Linked DNA regions of Ovis aries. The protein of the gene in region 4 purifies or fractionates together with the protein of the main gene of each other region. This does not show direct contact. Links are inferred from orthologs where the notes say so. Each region holds a gene or a part of one and is shown on either strand. Other genes may lie near its edges.

Region 1 (5,795 bases), on a different chromosome or scaffold from region 4:
AGCATCACATTGTATAGCGCACTTTTACTGTCCTGGGGTTGCCTGCAGCAGTTCCCGTGCTCCAGGGCAAGCCTCTCTGGTCCAGCACTACTCACAGAGCACAGCCTTGCTGCTCTAAATCCAAACCATCCTTTCTAAAGTATGGCCAGCCCTGAATTTGCCCTCTGTTGCTCTGAAGTTTTTCCTTTGCTTATCCTCCAAAGCTGCCATGAGTCCCTCCCTCCCATTCTTCCCTGCTTCTCCCCCGCCCACCCAGGTTATCTGTATATAGATCCCTCTCCCTAACCCTCTGCATATCTTTTGAACTTGCTGCAATCTTTTTTGCGGGATCTTGGTTCCCAGATTAGAGATTGAACCTGTGCCCTCAGTAGTCAAAGTGCAGAATCCTAACCACTGAACTGCCAGGGAATTCCCTGGCTTCAATCTTGAAATGAATTCTTCACTAGCTGTAGGGCTTTGGGCAAGGATCAGCGCCTCTCTGAACAGTAGGATCAGGCAAGTAATATCCATCCTTGGTTGGTTGCTGCCACTCTAGAAGCCCAATACCCTTCAGGGCATGGACACAGGTGGTGTCACCATTATCTACAATCACTGGTACTTAACAGATAAGATCTGGAGGTTTAGCTGTTGTTCAGTTGCTGCAGCAAGCCAGGCTTTCCTGTTCTTCACCATCTCCCGGAGCTTTATCAAACTCATGTCCACTGAGTCAGTGATGCAGTCCAACCATTCTCGTCCTCTGTCGTCCCCTTCTTTTCCTGCCCTTAATCTTTCCCAGCATCAGGGTCTTCTCCAATGAGTCGGTTCTTTGCATCGGGTGGCCAAAGTATTGGAGCTTCACCTTCAGCATCAGTCTCTTCCTGGAAACTTAGAGGTGTTAGATTACCCAACTAAGGTCACTCAGCCAATGTGAGTGTAAATTCCTTCTGGCCTCAGTTAATTAACCGGTAAAATGGGGATGATGATTCACCAGCAGTGAAGTCTTTCTGAGTTGGCTTCCAGCTGCAGGTTTGCTGAAGGGGGGAGCTAGGGGACCGACGGGCATGTCTGCACTGGAGACCCAGCTCCCCAGGCACTAGGGGTGTGTGTTAAGTCTCTTCGGTAGTGCCCGACTCTTTGCGACCCTATGGATTGTAGCCTACCAGGGCTGACCGAGTTCAAGCTGGGCTCTCTTCTCCCTGCCATTTGGCCCGGGGGTGGGGGTGGGGTGCTCAGATAATCTGAGTCAGGGAGGTGAAGGGCCAGCTGGGGCCGAGGCAAAGGGGTGCAGAGGGAAGCACTGGCAAGGCAGACCCGGGGCCAAGCCCTGTCACTTTGCTCAGGCCCGGACTCTGGGAGGTAGCTGGGGGAAGCCCCACAGTAAGAGCCTGCCTCCGCTCCGTGAGCCGGAGTGATCATCCCTGAGCAAGCCAGTGCCCCCAGAGACACCTGTCACAGTCTCCCTGCCCGGAGCCCTCGCCAACCCGTACTGAGCCGCGCAGGTCTGTCCTCCGTGTCCCGTGGGTGGAAATGTCACCTGCTCAGAAACACCACCACCACCGCTCTATGGCCTGCTTTGCTTGTGTTGCTCAGGTGGAGTCTGACGTCCGGGACCCTCTGCTCCTGTGTACCCCGGCCGGCGGGGAACAAAGTGCTCACTACCACTACATTTGAAGAAGCAACTTCTGCATAAATCCTTCCGCAAGGCAAAAGGAAGACCACCCCCCAATCCATCCAGTTTTTCTCCCTAGCAGAGGCCGGTGCACAGATAGGGGCACCTAGCACAACTTGTCCTCACATCTCCTGGTACAAACTCCACCTTTGAGACAAGTGACATTGACTGCCAATTTCCCCGCTCCCTCCCCACCTTTATAAAATTCAGCCGTGGAGAATGCGGGCATCGATCCCGCTACCTCTCACATGCTAAGCGAGCGCTCTACCACTTGAGCTAATTCCCCAGCTCCTGGCATACTTCCGCCACCGGGACACATGGTGGCTCACGTCATCACCGGTTTCCTCCGGGCCCTCCGGCCCGCCTGCCCGCGGGTCTCGCTACCCCATTGGTTCTTGTGCAGCTCCCTTCTTGTGCAGACCTACTGCCATGATTGGCTTGGCTCACTTTAGTTTTAAAAAGCATTGGCCATCGGATTGGTGGCCCCAGCCGTCCGTCAAGAGAAGGCCCTGCTGTTGCTATGGCGTAGTTGGGGGGAACCCAGACAAGGTTTCCCTCGGTTTCTGATTTGTTGGCTCCAGACTCCGGGGTCCTAGAGGTTCCGGATCCATCAAGTCCATGGGAAAAGAATGCGCCCCCTCGCCCTTGACGGACGGTGTCCGCGAGCCAATCGGAGTAGGTTCAACGGGGGCCGCAGAGTGATCCAATAGGCGGCAGGGGGCGGGAGAGGAAGGCCAGTGAGCGCGGAGCCGGGGGCGGGGGCAGGGTCGTGATTGGCCGCGAGGCGCTCGGAGGGAGGGCGGGGGGAACTCAAGGCCTGCTTGATACGTCCGCCATTTTGGGCGCTTCGCTGATGGTGTCGGTGAGCGCGTTTCCCGCCTGAGCGCAACTAGCGGCGAGTCGCGGGCACCTCCAGGTAATGAGGAGGGGGGGGCGCGGCGGAGCGGGCCGCAGCGCGGGGTGCGCTGGGTGCGCGGCGCGCGGGCGGCGGCGGCGGGGCTCCTCCGCCCGGCCTCGGCGGCGCGGGGAGGGAGCGTCCCGGCCCCCTCCCCTCCCCCCCGGAATTCGCCTCTCGGCCGCCGGGGAGGCGCGGCGCCCGGGCTCCCTGGCCCGTCCCCGCCCGCGCCTGTCAGCCGCCCGCTCGCCCGCTGCGGGGCCCCTCGCCGAGTCGGGCCGCGGGCCGGGAGGCGAACTTTGCGCCCGGGTTGACGTCCGCGGCCTGGCGCGGCGGGCGGGCGGGCCGCCGGCCGGGCGCGCCCCTCACCCGGCCGGGCCCCGCTCCGCGCCGGCCGGCCCGCCCCGAGCGAGCACCGCCCGCTGCCCGCGGGCCCCGGACAAGTTCTCTGGGCGCGGGCCCCGCAGCGTGTCAAGTTGAGGCGGCGGCGGCTCGCCGGAGACTCCCGAAGAGGCCATTGTTGGACTCGGTTCTCCGGGAAACAAGTTCTGTGGGTTTCTGCTCCCTCGCCGCAGAGTCAGCGGGATACGCCGGCGCCCGGCTCGGAGTGTTTAAAACCTCCTTCCGAGTGATTTTTTTTTTTTTTTAAACTCCAGGGTTGCGACTCCAGCTCAGACCTGGTCGCGAAAGCCTCCCTGGCGAATACGCGCTAGGGTGGGGGGGGTGGTCCTCTCGGCCGCAAGTACCTCCCTCTTAAAGAAGCCCTCTCGCCGCTCCCTTGGAGGGGTTTCCTGCGGCCCGGCTTTCTCTGACCACAACTTGGACTCTTGGTTGGAGGTGAATGGCACGAGTCCTTGGATGCACCTGGGTGTCTTGGCGTCTCACCCTCCGAGCTCCGTGTAATCTCTGTACTTAACCCATTTTCTCTGTGGGTCGGATCGAGCTTTTCTGGGAGCGGCGCTTGGGAGTTGTTTCCTTTTATCGTCACAGCACTTGTGAATGTGGCTGTTTTGTTAACGTGGAGTTGACTGCGATTTTGTCCTCAAGGTCACGTTGTAGGTAGGCAGCAAGTGGGAAAGAGGCTCCGGATTTCCAGCCGCTGGAAGACCCACTGAAGGGATGGTGTTGGAGCTTCTTTTGCTGTCGAGTTAGATGGCGTGGTTTCCAGATCTTGGCTTCACCACTTTCTGGCGCTGTGACCTTGGGCAAGTCCCTCAACCTCTCTGCTTTTTCTGTAATACGGGAATAACAGCAGTGGCTGCCTCAGCAGTCTGTCGGGAGGAAATGAGTTAATATGTGTAAAGCAGCTAGAAACGGTGCCTGGCGTGAGGAATCCGCTTAGTAATTAGTGGCTATTATTAATTTGGATTTGGTTTTTAAATGTTTAGATAGTATTGGGAAGTCCTGGCTTTTCGTGGCTGTCTTTAGAAAGCTCTTGTGTTTTTAAGAGTCTTTCCGGCTGAGAACCACCCAGGAGAGGGTGGCTGAGGATTGATTACGTTTACAGACGTTTTCTGGAGTCATTAGTGGTGATGCCTCAGACTGGCTTGTTGAAGAGATGGTTAAATAAAAGCCCACCAGGAGCTCACGTCAGATTTTGTTCCTCCTGTACTTTTGAATACCGCTTATTGCGTGTGATTGGCCCCCAAATCAGTAGTAACTGGAGAGTTTCTTAGTGTACTCTTGGGTTCTTACTGAGGTTTGAAAGGTTACTGTGTATTGAGATATTTTTCAGTGAAGGTACTTTGGGAAATAACTGTTGTCCTGGGTGGATGCTTTCGAAGTTATTTTGCATTTCAGCTAAGTTTGATCAGAGAGTCTAGAATATCTAACAGAATGCCATCCACTCATGCATCTACTCAGAGTCTATTGATTCCTGCCCTGTGGTCTTCTCCCTGCTGCTTGAAACCAGGCTTGTCCTTCCCCTGGAATTACCTGCTTGGGACCTGGCTTGCTTTGTTGCCCTGGGAAATGTTAATTTGATAGACTCCGTCTTAAGTAGAGATGAACATCTTGCTGGTGTAACTTACTGAACAGGAAGAAGATTGTTTTAGATTAGAAAACTAGCTTTTGTGTAAAGTATAGCAGAACAAAACTTGATGGTTTCAATTAACTGCCTGGCAATTTGAGAATCAGACCCTAACTGGACAGAAAAGGAATAGTGATGAAGTTAAGGCCTGACAGGGTGAGGCTTGTTTAGTCTCTTTGAAATAAATTTTGGCGCTGATGTGGTACAGAGATAAGGTGCTTATTACAGACAAGACATCTTCCTTAAAACAGTATTTGTCAGGATTGGTATTTAGTTTGCTTCTTTGATAAACTTGAATCTTGTGGTTTTATATATTGGATATTTGAGAGGTAGCCTGAGTATATATTTGTCTAAAATTTTACAATGCTTTCTTACTGATATAGAATGGTTAAGAATGGTAGTGACAGTGAAGGTCTTGTAACCATCTGCTCAATTAAAACTCAGTTTATTTACGTACAAAGCACAAGAGGCTGTGGTTGGTTCTCATAAGCCCTGGTGTGGCCAAGTAGAGTTGACTGCTTTTTCTTAGGTGAGCTGGATGGAAAGAATAGACCTGATTTCTTGGCTTTTGGAAGTTTTCTTATTTTTTTCCCTTCTTAAAGGAGCCTCAGATGACCGTTTTTTAATTTACTCTAGAGCAGTAGTTCTCAACTTTGGGGGGCGGATTTTGCCCCCAAGAATCATCTGGTGATATCTGGAGAAGTAAATTTTGCTTGTCACATCTGTGGAGTTGGGCCGTGGCTTCTAGAAGGTAGAGACCAGGGATGCAGCTGGACACCCTGTGATGCACAAGATGGCAGCCTCACCCCTCAGCAGGACGTTAGCCCCCCAGAGGTCAGCGGTGCTGAGGTCGAGAAACCCTGCTCCAGACAGATGGTGAGCTGACCTGCTTTGGGATCATTGGGGATACTTTTCAAGACTGTTCTGTAAATGTGTGATGAGAGTGAGAACGTTTCTAAAAGCTCCCGAGTAATACTGATGTGCAGCTAGGTTCTGGCACCACTAGACCACAGATTTCAGGAGCTGCGTGTGGGTCAAGGGGTCCTGTCACCTGTGAGCTTGTCTATACCTCGACCCTCCTGGGACATGACTTAGTAATGGGGAAAGATGGTATACATCATTTTCAGGTGCCTGAAGACTGAGCTTTGAAAAACATTTTTTAAAGTGAATGTTTTATAAAGTAATTGAGAAACTTTTGTTTTTCTCTTGCTTCGTGAGACTCC
Region 2 (5,154 bases), on a different chromosome or scaffold from region 4:
GGCTGGGGGGACAGTGTGGGAGGCGGACGGACAACAGGGTCCCCCCAGGCTCCGCCCGCAGCAGACAGCCTGCGTGTGTCCCTCATCCCCTGTCTCTGCAGGACCTGTTTTTTAAGTACACTTGGAATAATTTCCTGCACCTCCAAGTGGAGCTCTGCATAGCCGCCATCCTGTCCCACGCTGCCCAGGAGGACAGGGCCGCAGCCAGTGGACCCGAGGGGGCACTGGAGCCTCCACCCTCCAGCGGGGACCCAGCAACCCCCCAGCCTGCCAGCAGCCTCCCCGAGAGCACCATGGTGACCCACGTAAGTCCAGCCGGGGTCATGTGAGTTGCCGTGTCCCGCCTGTCTCTGCATCCTGTGTGCCCTGAGGTCCACCCAGGCCGTGTGCACAGGCGGGGCTGTGGGCCTTGTGTGGTCTCCTTAACCCTCGCATGACGTGGGTGGGCTGCTCTGCTTTTGAAACCAGGAGACAGGAGACCCCAGCGCTTGTGGGTGGAGGGTCCAGGAGGGGTGCCGAGGAGCCCTGATGCTGCCTGTGCTGGGTCATCTGGGCTGTGGGAGTGAGCGGCCCCCAGATGGTGTGTCTGCCGCGGTAGGAGTGCCCGGGGAAGAGCAGACGCACCTTGATTCTCACGGGGGGGCTTCCTGGGGCTGTGAGCCTCTGGGGAGAGTGGCGGCTCTGCACGGCTCTCCCGATAGCCCGATAGCCCGAGACCCCCAGGGCCGGCCTTCTGGGGGCTGCAAGCCCTGCGTGGCCAGTGCCAGGCCTGCAGGGAGTTGGTCTAAGCGCTCCTTGGCGCTCCCTAAGGAGGGGAGGGAAAAGCAGAACATGGCACACGTGGTCCCCAAGCCAAGAGCCCAGCGGTGCACACTGGGCCCCAGGAGTCAGCCATGCCGCCCTCCTGCAGGTGACGCGAGGCCAGGGCGGGGGGGTGGTGGCGGGGCAAGGGTCCCCTGGGTCTGTGGCCAGAGGCCTGGGAGAGAGTCCTGAGGGGCCATGCCTGCAGGCCTGACCTGGGCGACAGCAAAGGCAGCTTCCTTGGGGAGAGGGCCGCGGGGCAGGGGGGCGGTGCTTGGGCCCTCCCACATGGTGAGGCTGCATGTGGGTGCAGGTGCGGCTGAGACCGGCACAGCCTCTGCAGGCGGGGTAGCTTCGAAGGGCTGGGGGCAGGGCAGCCCCGGGCCAGCGGCCTCTGCCCCGAGGAGCGAGAGCAGGGGCATGGCCAGCGGCAGGCGGCGGGGTGGAACTCGTGTCCCCTCGTGGATGGCCCTGGACGGCACTTGCCTGGGGCTGTGGTGGGGACCGTAGGGCTGGGCTCTGATGCTAGGTGTGCCCACAGGGAGCTCGGGGCTGACGTGTCCGCGTGCTGCCTGCTGAGCCCACTCAGCCCCGGGGGTGGGCGGACGGGGCGTGCTGCCCGCTGACCTGACCGCTGCCGCCTGTCCCCAGCTGTTCCAGAAGTGTTGCCTGGTCCAGAGGATCCTGGAGGCATGGGAAGCCAACGACCACACTCAGTAAGAGCCCTGGGGCCTGCGTGGGGCTCGGGGGGGGTGCCACGGAGGGTTTGTTTCCGAAGACAGGCCCCACTGCTGGGGGAGCAGCTGTGCTGCTGGCGGGGCTGAGGCGCAGGGCAGGCAGGCGGCGCAGCTGGGCCGCACTCAGGATCCTGCTCCTTGAGGCCTGCTTGCCTGGCTTTGGGGCCCCTCGCCTGCTCAGCAGCGGAGACCCCAGTCCTGTGTTCCACACCGTCTCAGGTCCCCGTGCTGGCCTCCAGCTGTGGTGCTCACAGAAGCCTCAAACCCTGGGCAGAGTGCCCAGGCCAGTCCCTGCCTCCTCCCTGCCCCTCCTGGCCTCTGGTCCCTTTGATCGGCTGGGGCCTCTCTCAAACGAGCAGGTGGTGTCGCCCGCCGCTCAGAGGTCTCGACTGCCTGGGTACGTGGTGTGACTGCAGGGCCCCCTCTGCTCCCACTCTGCCCTCCTAAGAGCTGCTCTGGGCGGGGCTCTCTGCGACCTCAGCTGGTTCATCCTTCCCGTCCTGCTGTGCTGAACCCACAGATCTGCGTCCGTCCTCACGGAGCCCCAGGCACAGCGGGGTCACCCTGGCTCCCGCTGGGCCCGGGTGTGGTGACTCGGGAGGCCTGTGCTGGGTCTCCTCCTGTGTGTCGCCTGTTGGTGCACACGTGTGTGTGCCTGTGTCGAGAGATGGCTCGGAGCTGTTAACCGAGGAGTCTCTGAGCCCCAGGAAGCGGTGGACAGGTGACGCCTCAGCCGAGCTCTGTGTCCTGAGCAGCTTGCTCACAGGCCTCCACCCTCGTGCGGCTTCGCCTCTGGCTGGTTCCTCCCAGTCTCGTGGCCCCTTTCCCCTGCTGGGGGGCCCCCGAGTCAGCTCCCTTGGTGTCCTCTCTGGCTGTGCCTGGGCTGAGCAGAGAACACGGCGCAGAGCAGGAGCCGCCCCTGGGGACCCGAGCCTGCGTCTTCCCGTCCTCTGCTGTCGGCCGCCCAGGGGGCAGATGAGAGGTTGAGGAAGGGCCGTGTGGGCGTGCTGGTGGCCACCAGCCAGGGCAGGGACAGCCACCCCTGCTGCTGCCCACTGCTGGGTCCCCGGTTGGCCCTCAGTCTCCCTGGGTCTTGGGACGCCCTCGGGCAGCTCTCGCGGCCCCGACGCGACCCTGGTGTGCCGGGCCTCCGGCTGTGCAAAGTTGAGTCGGGGGCGCTGGCGCCGAGCACATGGCTCAGCGAGCTCCGCGGGGAGGAGGCCTGTGGGAGGCGGCGGCCGACGCTGCGCCACGCGGGGCCCCGCTGACCTGATGCTCCCTCTCCTAGGGCGGCGGGCGGCATGAGGCGCGGGAACATGGGCCACCTCACCCGGATTGCCAACGCGGTGGTGCAGAGCCTGGAGGGGGGCCCCCTGCAGAGCCAGGTCAGCGAGGCCTTCCGAGGTGAGCGCCTCCAGGCCCGGGCGTCGCTGCCCGCGGTGCCCCCTGCGCTGCGGCCGTCGTCGCGTGGGACAGGCCCTGCTGCTGGACGGTCAGCTCGCCTCCCACGGGGTGACCTGCCCAGTGGGCCTTGGGCCTGAGTCGGTTCCCTGCCGAGCCCTGTGCTGTTAGTAAGAGCAGCCCAGAGCCCTTTGGGGCCCCCTCTCATCGCGGTCTGCGGCCTCTCCACCTGGGGCTGCCGTGTGCCCCTTGTGTATCCCGGACGGCACTCTTCAGCTCCCAGCAGCGCATCGTGGGCTGAGCTGGGGGGGCCTGAGGGGTTCAGATGGGAGAAGGTGGGCAGCCTGGCCTCTCGGGGAGGAGGACAGCACCTCTGAAGCAGTGGGTGCCAGCAGGGGTGAGCACTCGGGGCGCCAGGGGCGAGTGCACACAAGCCGGGCCCGAGGGCGGGATTCTGAGGGCAGTGAGGGGCTGTGGGCGGAGGCTGAGGACAGGCCCGGCCCGGGGCGAGGGGGCGCTGGGGAACGCTGAGCAGGCGCGCACCATCTGGGAGCCCTGGCTGGCTGTGTGTGCCGCCTGGGGCCCCTGAGCCTGCCGAGGCGCGGGAAGCTGCCTTGCCGATGTGCAGCTGGTCGTTCGCGTGCATACGGCCTTGGCGTGTTCCCTGCCGTGCCCCGCCAGACACCTCTGCAGTGGCCGCCGTGGCCCCCACAGCCCAGGGACAGCTGTGAGCTCAGCAGCTGGGGGGGCCTCCGATACCAGCATGGCGCTCAGTCCCTGGTGGGCTGGGTCAGTGTCTCTCATGGAGGCGTGCGCCCCTGACGGCCCTGTGCAGGGGACGGGGAGGGCGTCGGGGCCCGGTGTGCCCGGGAACACTCGCCCACGGGCTCGGGCCTGTGAGGCCAGGACGGGTGCGCGCTGCCGCGGGGTTCCAGAAACCAGGGGCTCAGTGCGCGGCCTTCCCACAGGGCTCCCGGCGGACTGCCGCGGGCGCTGGGAGAGCTTCGTGGAGGAGACGCTGTCGGAGGCCAACCGCAGGAACGCGGTGGACCTGGTGAGCAGGCCTGGCCTCCGGGCAGAGCTCTGCGGGCCCTGCGGTTCCACCCGGCCTGGGCTCACGGGGCTGCCTGTGCAGAGGGCTGGGGCGGCAGGGTGCCCGCTCACGCCTGCCCGCCCTGGCCGTTGCAGGTGGGCACACAGCACCTTCACCCCTCGAGTGAGGACGAGGACATGGAGGGCGTCCTCCCCAGCGGGCTGTCGCTGCAGCAGGTGCGTGCGGCCAGGCCTCCGCGTCCCCACGGCGCCGCGCCCTGCGCGCCGCCAGAGCCGCCAAGGGGGCCCCGGGCACTCTGCACCCATGGGACCCTTGGGGACGTGGTTGGCTCTGTGGGCGTGGCCGCCTTGGGCGCCCACCCAAGCGGGCAGGAGCTGGGAGAAGTCGCTGAGGGCGTCTCCTGAGAGCAGCCGGCCCTGTCGTCCAGGCGTTCTCCGAGTACCAGGTCCAGCAGATGACAGCCACCTTCGTGGACCAGTTTGGCTTCAGCGACGAGGAGTTTGCTGAGCAGGACGACAGTGTCAAGTGAGCCAGCAGCCTCTGCCCGCCTCCCTCGTGCCCGCCGCGTCCTCGGTGCCTGTGGGCGGGAGCTGGGTGCCGCTTGGCCTGACCAGGTCCCTGGCCTGCGGTCAGCACGGCTCAGGCTGTCACACCACCTCCTCAGCTGGACCCACATGCAACCCCAGGGTCTCGAGGTGCCCTCCGGGGAGGGCGGCAGGCGGGTCGCCCCTGGCTGTGAGCCTGCAGTGTGGCGCCCCCGCCCCCACCCCTCAGGTCCAGACGGGGCCACCTCCCGCCCCTTCTGGTGGAGGTCACGGTGTCCCTGCTGTCCTTGCAGCGCCCCATTCGACAGGATCGCAGAGATCAGCTTCAGCGTCGATGCCGATGACGATAGCGTGAGTCCGCGGGGTCTCTCGGAGGCGGCCAGGCTTTGTGGGCGCAAGGCCACGGGGCCCACGTGCACTCTCTCGCAGCCTGGCGCCGCGCTGTTTGAGGCCTGCTGCAGCGACCACATCCAGCCCTTCGACGAGGACGACGATCTCTGGGAGGCAGAGGAGACGCACCGTGCGGCCCGCGTGACCAGAGCCAGGTGGGCCGGGACGCGCCGGCCCCGCCCCACCTCAGCCCCGCCTCAGCCCCGCCCCAGCGCTCGGGGAGGGC
Region 3 (5,154 bases), about 170 Mb from region 4:
CTTTTCTTTTTTAAAGTTTTATTTATTTATTTTTGGCTGTGCTGGGTCTTAGCGGCTGCACAGGCTTTTTCTCTAGGTGCGGCAAGTGGGTGCTATTTGCTAGTCACGGTGTACAGGCTCCTCACCGTGGTGGCTCTTGCTGCTGTGGAGGATGGGCCCTAGGGCGCTCAGGCTTCAGTAGCTGCAGCCCGTGGGCTCAGCAGCTGCAGTTCCCAGGCTCTAGAGCACAGGCTCAGTAGTTGTGGGGTATGGGGTCAGCTGCTGCGAGGCATGTGGGATCTTCCCGGATCAGGGATTGAACCTGTGTCTCCTGCACTGGCGGGAGGATTCTTGATCACTGAGCTGCCAGGGAAGCCTGAGAATCCATTTTCGACATTTTACATGCACTTGACTTTTTGTCTGCATTGAAGGCAGCTCTTCGTCTGAGCCACCAAGGAAGCCCCTTTACTTTCTTTGATCACAACAGACACATACTCAGATCTGATGTGTGTCCAACAGAAGCCAGAGATTTGCTGCTTTAGCACACAAAATGATTTCTTTGTAGCCTCTATCGTATGGAGTTTGTTTCAGTCTTGCCCCTCTGATCACTAGTATCAATGCTTTCATTATCCTTTTTTTCTTTTTTTTTTCATTATTCTCTTTTTCATTCATTTTTAGAAAATGAAGGTGAAAGACAATACAGTCCAAATAATGGCCCACTGCCTACAGACTAAGATGTTAATGGAGGTGAAACTGTACTGCTGACTGGCAGGCATGCCGGCACGTGCCAACTTAAAGTATTCCTTTGGCTTGTCAGCTCATGGTGCATTCAGAAGGCGGTTGGGGTTGTCACTGTATAAAATGCAACTTTACCGGGCAAGAGAACATAAATGACCTTGCCTGCCTTGGGCCATCTTGTCTCTCTCCTGGCCTCTCCTTCCACTTCTGAACCCTGGGTTCTGTTCCCTGGGAGTGCTGTGGTCCAACGCCCCAAACTGCAGGAACCACAAGTCCATGCACACACTCACACTCGCACACTCTGCTGAATGACGCGGATCCAGGTGCTCCGGTCATCCCGGGATGCCGTGTGGACCTCGTACATCTCAGGGGGTGCCGCACTGATCAGAAACATCCCTTTCTCCTGGTTAGCGATGTCCCGCACGATGAGATTCTGCAGTGACACCACCGAGGGCTTGTCCTGCCAATTGGGGCACAGGAAGGATTAAAGCTGGGAATCCTGACCCCTGGATATTTGAGTCTTCAGTCCTCCTGGAGTATCCAAAGGATTGAAGAGTCAGCCGAGAATATAAGTTAAGAGCTCAGACTCTGGTGCCAGCCAGAGTGGACTTAGAGAAACGTCTGTGACCTTTGACAATTTAATTAACTTTAAGCTTTACTTTTCTCATCTACAAAAAGAGGATAATCATGTGCCTTCCTAACACGTGTAAAAAAAAGTGGCTGCATATAGTAACAATATGCGTTGGCTCTTCTTATTCCTTCTGATCATATTTATATGCATTGGCTCTTCTTATTTTTCCTGATTATATTACGGCAGTGGTTACAATAATAGCTATTTGATGTTGGAGGATTTCCTGGCCAGGGTAGGAAAGTAAGAAGGGTCTGAAACACTTGTCTATGCTGAGAAAGAAGGTGGAAGGTCTCACCAGGGCAGGAAAGATGTACTTCTGGTCCTTCTCTTGGAGAAACACCAGCACATCTGTCATCAGCAGCATGAGCACATCTGGCAGGGGGATGGAGGCAGGAGGAGAGTCAGCGTTAGAGGATGCGAGCAGCTGTTTCCCTTTCCCCGACCTCTCTCCCTCTGGTTGTTTCCTCCCCCTTCGCAGACCTCCCACCTCTCCCCATTCCTACAGCTCAGAAACGGTGGGGGGCGGGGGGGACACATGTGTCATCAGACAAAACAGTTTCTTGGGCTAGAGATGCCTATAAGCAATCACCCAGTGGCCTTGAATAAAAGCCTCTTTATCCAATGAATGCTCCTTAGCCTGTGGTCTGCCGACACCTAGGTTGTCTGCTATCACGCTTCAGAGGCTCTGTAGATCCTCTAAAGTTCCATAAGCAATTTTTACATATTAATCTATCACACGTGTGTTTTTCTGTGTGAAAGGGTCCAGAATTCTTGTGAGGGTAAAACGACTCCCAGAGCCTTTCAGTTCCATGTTGAACAACTGACATAAGATCTTTTTGGATATTTGGTCTAAGATTCCCCCCATGCCAGCATATTCCCCACTTCTTATTTTGTGCTCCATGGGGAGGGGAACAGTTAGGTTCCTTATTCATTTCTCCCACTGTTGAACAATCCCAATCTCCTTCAACAACAGCAGGCCCTGCTTTCATTTTCCTTTTCTGCCCCACCTTCAAGGCCCTCACATTCTACGGGGTCCTGTGCTTTAAGACTTGGGGGAGACAAAGGTCAACCCATGAAAGTCAGATGTCACAGTCAGGAAAACACATGCATCCTCTGCCCTTGGAGATCTTTCTAAGTTGTGGGCACACAGAAGGGGAGGGCTTCTGCTAAAGGCTTCAGAAATAAAGCTCTTCAGCCTTGCTATTTTTAACCCCCCCATGGTTTATATTCTTAGCTGCTGCGTGGGAGGGATGGGAAGGAGAGAAAGGGATGGAGGAAAGTGGCTGGCAAAGCCTGCAATACTCAAGCCTATGGAGTGGGGACTTCACGACACGGGACAGAGGTGCAGGCAAGCTCTGGCCTCAGGTAGCATTCCTCACACCTAAAGCTGAGGTCTGCGACTCTTCTGCTTTGATTTAGGTAGGCAAGCCTTGCCCAGTATAGTCTGGGAAGAGAGGCTGGGACAGTGCGCCCCGCCCTGAACACACCTTCCCTGCAGTCTTTTCTCTTCTCCACTTGGCCCGCCCTTCCCTGGGCTCCACCCCCTCCAAGGGCCTTCCTCAGCTGTGTTCCCAAAGTGCCTGCCCATTCCCCAGCCCTAGTGGCTGGGACTCCAGCTGGTAGAACCAATTACCAGGGGCTAGTCCTCTAATCCTGGAATTTCTCTGTTTTTCTCATCAAAATCGGTAGCTTTCTGGGCATGCAAGGACCAAAGGAATGAACAAATCCTGACAACGAAGTCCTTGTATCGCCCATGAAATTAAATCCAGAATTCTGACTTTTGTTACAACAGAGCTCACATATTTTCCTCCCACTGGGTCTCACCAGGGCTACATTAAAAGAGGTCCTATGGGCTTGGAGGCTTCTCCCTCTGGCCATGGACTCTTGCCTGGTCTGCCAAGCTGTCCACTGACCTTTGAAGCGCCCAGTCGCAGTCTTCCAGAGCAGGCAGCCATCGTGAATGAGCTTGCGCCGCAGGAGCTCCTCTCGGCCAAAGGGGCCCTTGCCGGGAACCGGGGCCTGGGCCCGAGGGTCCATGCGGTTGTAGATCTCCTGCAGGCGGGCCCCTTTCTCCAGCTCGTGCACATCCTGGTCCACGTTGGACAGCAGCTCCTTCACCAGCCCCAGGGCCGTGGTCAGGTCCTGGCGCTCCTCCTCCATCCCTGACACCGAGGTCGGCGTGAGGAAGGGGTGGCCCAGCCAGCTTCACGCCAGTCCCCAACCCACTGATCTCAATGCCGCCTTCAGAGGCTGCCCAGGGTTCCATATGTGACCCTCTTCCTCCCGGTGGTTGTCCAGGGCCACGCCTCACCCCTGACAGCCCTCTCCCTCCTCCTCCCGCCTGGACTCGCCCTCTCACCGTGGGAATGCTGCAGGATGCGGTTGATGAGCACTGGGTACTTGGTGATGCGCTGAGTCACTAGCAGAATGCACTCTTGTACCCCATGCCGCTTCAGCACCGCCGAGCGGGTCACTTTCTACAAAGCGAGGTCAGGGCTCAGTGCCAGAGGGGCACCCGCGGGGAGGGCACCAGAAAGGACGCTGGACTTGGAGCCTAAGCCCTGGTGCCTGCCTGCACTTGGTCATTTACCTCATGCTGGCTGGCGGGAGGTTAATGACTCTGGAAAATGGGGCCGACAAGGTCACAGGTTTACTGTGAGGACCCAAGGAGCGAGAGCACTCGCTCTACCCCTGGAAAAACGAGCAGCTGTGTCCACTAGGGCTGGGGCACTACAGGAGGCGGAGGGTGGGTCTTGGAGAGGTTTGCTCACCCGGATGAACTGCTGGAAGCGTTTGTCTCGGGCATACAGCTCCTTATAGAGTTTTAAGGCCTTGGTGTGGCGGCTACAGAACTCTGAGTAGGTCTTCCGCATCTGCTCTGCGCTAGGACCTGAGAACTAGAAGTTGGGGGAGCAAGGCTGGGTCAGCATGTCCCCCAAAGTCACCTCTCATCCCCAATGCCCTCTCGCCTCCTGCCAAACAGGCTGGCTTCCTGCCTTTCCAACTCTCTCTGCCCCACCCCCCAGAGTCTGGAGATGAGAAATGCCCACTCTAGTCACACCCCCGCCCAAGACTGCTGCCCAGGGCTCCTGGCTTTTCTCACCTGGCTGATGAGCAGGTCCCCCAAGCGATGGATGACGAAGTTCCGGGTGCTACCAGGGCATAGGGCATGGCGCCGGCGATCCAGCAGCTGGCTGAGGAAGCGCGTGTGGATGTCAGTGAGCTCGTCCACACAGGGGAACAGGCCCTGGACCACTCCTGGCTCCAGCTGCAGCTCTTCCAGCATGCCCGTGCGGAAGAGGCGGGTCATGATCTTCAGTGTCCGCACGTGGTGCAGCTCTGTCTGGATCAGCTCTGTGGGGACGGTGGAACACCCGGCTTGGCCACAACTGGTGGGGCCAAGGCTGGAGACCTCAGGCTTATTAGAGGTTTTCAGTTTCCCTTCCAGGCTAATATTCTGCGTTATGATCTTAGATCATTTTTCTAATCATTTATCTTTATGCCTTGCCATCTCAAGGCAGAATGAGGCTGTGGAGACAGGCAGGGGAAGGGGCTAAGAGGGGCTCACTCTTGCCATCTCAAGGTATAAAGTCAAAAACTATGTGTTCCTTACATGCCTAGACTTCCCACAGTCCCCAGCACAGAGCTGGGCATGCAATGGGCAGAGAGGAAAGACTAAGAGTTGACTGGAAGGAAGGGATTACGAAGGGCCTTGGAGGTCAACAGCTCCAAAAGCTGTGGACCTCGTAGCTACTTATGGGATCACTGGCAGGGTCTTGAAGGCCAATGGGATAAGAGGAAAGTGT
Region 4 (5,944 bases):
ATATGCTGTCAACTTACAGGTTTAAGCTGCTCTCCCACTAGAGACACAGCATTCATTTTGCTGCACTTTAATACCACCATGTTTACTGGTTAAAATACATGAATCCTACCCCCACTGTCTTTCATATTTTTGCCACTCTATTCCAGAGTCTTGTGACATAATAGAATTTATTTCAGTGAGACTATTTACAGACGGAAGATATTGGAGGAAACAATATGTATGTAACATAGCCCCTGCCTTCAAGGAGCTTGCTTTCTGTTTGGGAAAAACCAAAGTACGGAATTTAACCTAGAGCAAGAAAACAGGATGTACTTGCCTAGGTCTAAGTAGGTGAACTTACATACTGGAGACTTTAGAACAAGCTAAAATTGTCTGTATAAAAAAAAGATTTTGTTTGAGGGGTGAGGCCCCCTGACAGTGACAGTATATTGTTACTATAGTGGTTTCATGCATGTCAGAATACTTGCATGTCTTTAATTTGACTGAAAACCATTTACATTTTTAAAAATAACTAAGTGATTTTTTTAGCACATTTTAGTACAGTTACGTTAGGATTATAGGTTTTTACATAAATTGATAATGGGTTTTGTTGTTAAATTCTGGCTTTCTTGTTTATATTATGCTGGATTTTTTTTTTTTTTTTTTTTTTTAGTGTTCTGATAAATCAACTGACTTAAGTGTGTGAGGTAACATTAGCCCTGAAGAACCTATTTAAAAATAACTTGTTTGGGAATATTATTGCAGTAAATAGTATGTTACTTTGTTACCTAAACTTTTCACAATCATTGAGATTGTTTGTCTCCTAAGATCACTTTTGCAGTCTGGTGTTATAGATCACAGAACTCTTTGATGAGAGTGTATGTGTATAGTCAGTGGAAGCAGAGTAGATTAGAAAGAGCATGTGTTTACAATTAGGTACAGCTTTACTAATTTGCCAACTATGGATATAATAATTTCTAAGTCTGTTTTTTCTCTGTACATATGGGAATATAGCAAGGCCATTGTGAATATTAAATGAGAATGTAACATTTAGCACAGGAATAGCTATTATGTTTATTAATAAAAATGCTGGTTGACAGATGAAAACAAAGATTGAGGCGGAATCATAGTATTCTCTTTGTCATTTTTCTGTGGGAAAATAACCCCATCCTTGAATAAAACCAAGAAATGGGGAGGAAATGGAGAAAGCCAATTATAAATTGGTTGTTTTTGACACTTATTTGTAGCTTCAGGATAATTACTTTTATAGGGAGGGAGAAGATTCTTTGCTTTGTGTTAACCCTTTACCTTTTTGGCATATAGATAATTCACTACCAAGGACTTGAAAGAATAGATTTATGTAGCTATTCAACAGATTTTAAGGCTTTGTTCCACATCCAGATGGGAAGACAGTATTATTTCTTTTGTGAAATTCAAGTGATTAGTAGAATTTTACAATTAGAATTTCTCCAATATGGGGTTTTCATTTTTCTCTTTCAAAATATGATTTGGTTGACTGAATTTAACAACTCAAGTTGTTAGTAAATCTTAAATTTCTTTTGTGTAAACTTCTTTACATTCTTGAAAATAACATACATCTAGTAGATTAAAAATGGTCTAGAGGAAATAGGCAGAAAACCTTGGGCTTATGGTATTTATGTTCTCATGAAATGCTCCTCCATCTCTAGTTCTTTCATGGGTTCACTGCATTCTCACTGCAGCTGTCACTGTAGGGTTAAACATTTGCCATATTGCAACATACGAAAGCAGTTAAACTGTTTGGAATTGTTTACTTGCTAAAACCACTGTTAGTCAGCAGAGGCAGTACACCAGATTTCCTTGTGGCTTTTAGTGGAAAATGTTAAAAGCGCACTCATTTTTCAGTTATAGAATTTTTTAGTTTGATCTGGATTAGTCACAGAACTGGCATGAACCTTCTAATTGTGAAGGCTGTCCAAACGCACCGTTTTTTTCTCCTGCTAGAGGAAGTCACATCCGGAGCAGTAGCTCAGCTCTCTGGTAAGTGAAACATGTGAGCATTACTAGGCATTTCACCCTGCGGTTCTGCAGTCCTTGCTCTTCAGAGTGTTGCTCAGTTGGAATGCTTCAATGGGGCCGATCCTGAGGTTCTCTGGTTTTTAAGGACCTACTACTCATTTGGAGGTGTCAGTGGCGGTTTGTAAGATCATATGAGGAACAGGAAAGCATCTGAAATCGACTGAAAAGGAAAACTGTAGCGGTTTTCACAGTGGAAGGAAACTATATTGGCACAGAGGCAGATGACTGAATAAAGTAGTTGGCTCAGAGAAGATGCACAGTCTGCTGTTTTTTCCTCTGAATGAAGACTCTTTGATGGAAGCTGCATTCATGTGGAGATCAAAGAAAACACTGGAATGATAAACTACTGGAGTTTTCTCCCTCTCTTTTTTAAAAATGAAAAGCCTGAAGCCGTAATTTGAGCTCAGACGCCTTCTAATTCCTTCACAGCCTGCCTGTTCCGTTAGGATTCTCCGCTAACACCGCGTCTGCTTGGTGCCTGTGCCCTTTCGCTGAAGCAGCCACAGACCACTGCCTGATGGAGGAGCAGTGAACACTCTGCTTTTCCTGTGCTGTCGATGGGAATAAAGCTAACTGTTTTCCTCTCTTATATGGAATATCTGGACTAATCAAGCCGTATTCTAGTACCAAGAGTCCTATTGTCTCTTGTGGTCTGACTCATTGCATGTAAATGTACTGCAGCTTTGCTATTAATGCAGAGTGTTGTTTTTTTTCTTTCTCAAACACAGAAAGAATTGTCAACCTCTGAGCAACGTTTTGAGAGCTCTAGCTATAGTTTTTTGTTTTTTTTTTTCCTCTGGATAGTATCTGTATTAAACCAGCGAAGCTGAAGAAGTGAAGACAAATTAGAAGTGGAAACCGAATAGTGAGATTTTATATTTTATTTTCAATGATAAGCAAGCCAGCTGCTGGTAACTATGACCTTGCAGGCAGGAGTGGGCATCGCTGTGACCGTCTGTCTCAGCACTTGCTTCTCGTCTTATTCTGTTGTGTGTGGTGCTATCACCCGAACAGTGATCTTTTTATGCAAGTGAATTTCTGTAAAACAGAGTAGTAATATGACTATCTTGGTAGCGGAAAAATAGTTTTAAATGAGCTGATTCCGGACTCAGTTTTAGTTCTTGACATGTTGATGTGAAATTTCTTCTAAGTTTTACAGTTAACTGACAGAAAATAATAGAATTGGGGTTTTTTTTTTTCTTTTTTTAGGGAGTTATGTAGTTATAATTTTAAGCTTTAGTTTTTCTGATAGTGCTTGTTAACTTTAAAAACACCAGCTGTGCTTTTTAGAGGATGATTCTAAGTGCTGTACAGAAGAGGAGGAAAAGCTACTTGTGCTCTTCCAACTGTGACTTTTACCACGTAGCTTAGAATTCAGCTTTTTAAAAGAACGAATGAGTCGAGTGTGTATTGTTGTTTTGGAGGAGGTAGAAGATGAGTCTCCTGCATTCATTTCTAAATTGCCACAGGAAAATAAATCCCTACATTCTCCACCTTCGGGAAATGTATTGGTAAGATACGAGAGTTTATATGTTTACTATCTTTTACTGAACTAGCAGGGTAAATTTTATTTTTTAAGAATAAATGCAAATTAATTTCCGCTAGTTTCATTAAAAACTCAAGTGAAAGCAATATAGGTGTGTGAGTATGATGTAATATTACTTGTGTATAAATGCACACATTTCCTATTTTCACTTTTTCAGATGTTTCGGTAACATTTCAGACTTTATCTCTTAATCTCTTAAAATGAGTTTAAAAAATAATTTGAGGATAGTAGGCTATAGCACCCATGTTTCAGTTTTTACTTTGTGGTTTTAGAAACTAATGTAGCAAGTATGAGGAACTGTATGTTTTAGGAAAGTTGACTGTTGTCAGCAACACCGAGACACAGCCTTCTCTGTCGTGAATTTTATATATTTACATGCAGGGCTGTTACAGAAAAAGAATCAGACTTCATCTTTAATTTTATTTTTAAACCTTATCAATTAACTTTTTGTTTGAGAGTATAATGTGTTACCTTATCAGAGAGGCTATATCGTTGATTAAGAACTTGTTACATTTAGACATGCATGTGTCTGCTTCTTCATGTTACTCAGATTTATAGTAATTTTTGGTCTTTGAATAATAATGATTTTCATCAGCTGTCAGGTTTTCTTTGGATTTTTATCTTTACACATGGAATGCTAACTCATGCAAATTATTCGGGTCCCCGGAACAGAGCTGCTCAAAGAGGCTTCCTCTGTGGGCTCCTTGTCAAATGCCTGTTTGACGAGCTGTGTCCTACAAGTATGTGTTGAGATGTCTCACTTGTATTTATTTGGAAGATACTTTCTTTTTACCATCTGTATAAAAAAAGGTTTCCACTCATATAAAATCTAATTATGGTTATAATACTACCTAATTTTGGTCATGTGGAATTGATTTTTTTTTCAATTAGGCCTACTCTTTTTTCCAGGGATTTCAGAGGAATCTTGTACTTTCATATGATTTGACTTCATGAAACTTGGTTCGTGTCCAAAGCCAAGTGATTTTTGTTGTGATAGGGAAGAAAAATCTTAGATTTAAAAGTTATGTGGAAATAGCTTTAGCATCATCCCTGTGGTGTGATTAATGTTTTTATTACTCTCTTGTATTTTAGCCCTCACTGGTGCAAGCTATATTTAATGGAGATCCTGATGAAGTTCGAGCACTAATATTTAAGAAAGAAGATGTTAACTTTCAGGTAAAACAGTTTCACTGATACCAGCCTTGAAGCGTACTTTGCTAGAGTTGATGATTTTTGTTAAAAGACCTAACATAATTCTGTAAGTTTCTCTAAGCAAAGGTAGAAAGGTCTTGAGGCAAAAAGGAAAGGACTGGACGTGCATATTCAGGGTAATTACTAAAACCTAGGACAAGTAGGAGTCAGTGAAGGATTTCTGTTCCCCCAACCTTTTACTTTGAAATTTTTCACAGAAAAATTGAAAAACTTCTTTGAATAGCCATATAACCTCCAGCATTGATAACATTTGCCATATTTGCTTTCTCTCCAATATTTACACAAGTTATATTTATACTACACATATATTTATTCTTTTTCTGAATCCCATTTGAAAGTAAGTTATAGACATCATGACACTTCACTGTTAAATATTCAGATGAGGATTCTTTATTGTGAACTTAGAATAAGAGACATGCCTTAAATTTATAATATATCTAACTTGGTTCTGAGGTTAAATTGCTTTCTGTAAGTAATCATGGTAAACATTATACACAAAGATGCATCTATTTGGGTATCACAGTAAATAAAAACATTGTTTGAAAGTTCTTCAGACTTTTAAAGATACAGTGGATTTAACATTCAGGACTGATGTGAGGGACAGTTTTGGAGAGTGGCTATGTAGCTAATTCTGTGTATGTTTCTCCAGTGGCAAAACTTTTTAATTTACTAAGCTGAGGTGGGTGAGAATATATAATTAACTATAATAACATCAAATTTTTTACTGTATATATTTTTACTGGAAGTTAATGTTTTCAGTATCTTTTTCATACGTGATTCAGTTCTCTAAATGATGGAGAGTAGGGAGAAGTCGTGATTCATAAGGTCCCTATAGCAACAGCAAAACAGATGACCTGGAATTGATTGGCCAGTTCTAAGAAAGCCGTGTTCTGCCACCTCATCTCCAGCACTCATCTTTCCCCTCTTCTTTTGGACAGTGTATCATGACCACTTGATGTTAAGTAGATATAAGAAGTATCTTATTTTTTAAGGTTGAATTAACTGAGTAAATTTGAATCGTTAGCTAAAATGATTCATCCTCACATTCTGAAATGTAACCAAAATGCTATTATTACATTTTTCCCTTAAACATTGTGTTTAAGTTTATATTTACTGGAAACATTTACCTCATTCAGGATTTATTTTAAA

Evidence for each region.
Region 1: the proteins of ANKRD28 (region 4) and PPP6R3 purify together in Homo sapiens (co-immunoprecipitation; 3 studies listed by BioGRID and IntAct, with this or other methods). This does not show direct contact. The link is inferred for Ovis aries from reciprocal best matches to the Homo sapiens genes ANKRD28 and PPP6R3.
Region 2: the proteins of ANKRD28 (region 4) and PPP6R2 purify together in Homo sapiens (co-immunoprecipitation; 4 studies listed by BioGRID and IntAct, counting the BioPlex papers as one, with this or other methods). This does not show direct contact. The link is inferred for Ovis aries from reciprocal best matches to the Homo sapiens genes ANKRD28 and PPP6R2.
Region 3: the proteins of ANKRD28 (region 4) and ARHGEF2 purify together in Homo sapiens (affinity purification with mass spectrometry; 3 studies listed by BioGRID and IntAct, with this or other methods). This does not show direct contact. The link is inferred for Ovis aries from reciprocal best matches to the Homo sapiens genes ANKRD28 and ARHGEF2.

What each region holds. Positions count from the first base shown.
Region 1 is NC_056074.1:42,325,802-42,331,596, forward strand, and holds the start of PPP6R3 (serine/threonine-protein phosphatase 6 regulatory subunit 3), read left to right. Parts: upstream 1-2,173; 5' UTR 2,174-2,323; intron 2,324-2,488; exon of another isoform or gene 2,489-2,564; intron 2,565-3,019; exon of another isoform or gene 3,020-5,795.
Region 2 is NC_056056.1:225,668,606-225,673,759, forward strand, and holds part of PPP6R2 (serine/threonine-protein phosphatase 6 regulatory subunit 2), read left to right. Parts: intron 1-101; coding exon 102-305; intron 306-1,452; coding exon 1,453-1,517; intron 1,518-2,826; coding exon 2,827-2,942; intron 2,943-3,907; coding exon 3,908-3,993; intron 3,994-4,127; coding exon 4,128-4,208; intron 4,209-4,420; coding exon 4,421-4,518; intron 4,519-4,831; coding exon 4,832-4,889; intron 4,890-4,967; coding exon 4,968-5,083; intron 5,084-5,154. UniProt on the Homo sapiens protein: Regulatory subunit of protein phosphatase 6 (PP6). May function as a scaffolding PP6 subunit. Involved in the PP6-mediated dephosphorylation of NFKBIE opposing its degradation in response to TNF-alpha.
Region 3 is NC_056054.1:105,989,442-105,994,595, forward strand, and holds part of ARHGEF2 (rho guanine nucleotide exchange factor 2), read right to left. Parts: intron 4,703-5,154; coding exon 4,452-4,702; intron 4,246-4,451; coding exon 4,120-4,245; intron 3,826-4,119; coding exon 3,708-3,825; intron 3,511-3,707; coding exon 3,262-3,510; intron 1,721-3,261; coding exon 1,644-1,720; intron 1,178-1,643; coding exon 1,008-1,177; intron 1-1,007. UniProt on the Homo sapiens protein: Activates Rho-GTPases by promoting the exchange of GDP for GTP.
Region 4 is NC_056054.1:273,858,624-273,864,567, reverse strand, and holds the start of ANKRD28 (serine/threonine-protein phosphatase 6 regulatory ankyrin repeat subunit A), read left to right. Parts: upstream 1-2,000; 5' UTR 2,001-3,431; coding exon 3,432-3,548; intron 3,549-4,675; coding exon 4,676-4,759; intron 4,760-5,944. UniProt on the Homo sapiens protein: Regulatory subunit of protein phosphatase 6 (PP6) that may be involved in the recognition of phosphoprotein substrates. Involved in the PP6-mediated dephosphorylation of NFKBIE opposing its degradation in response to TNF-alpha.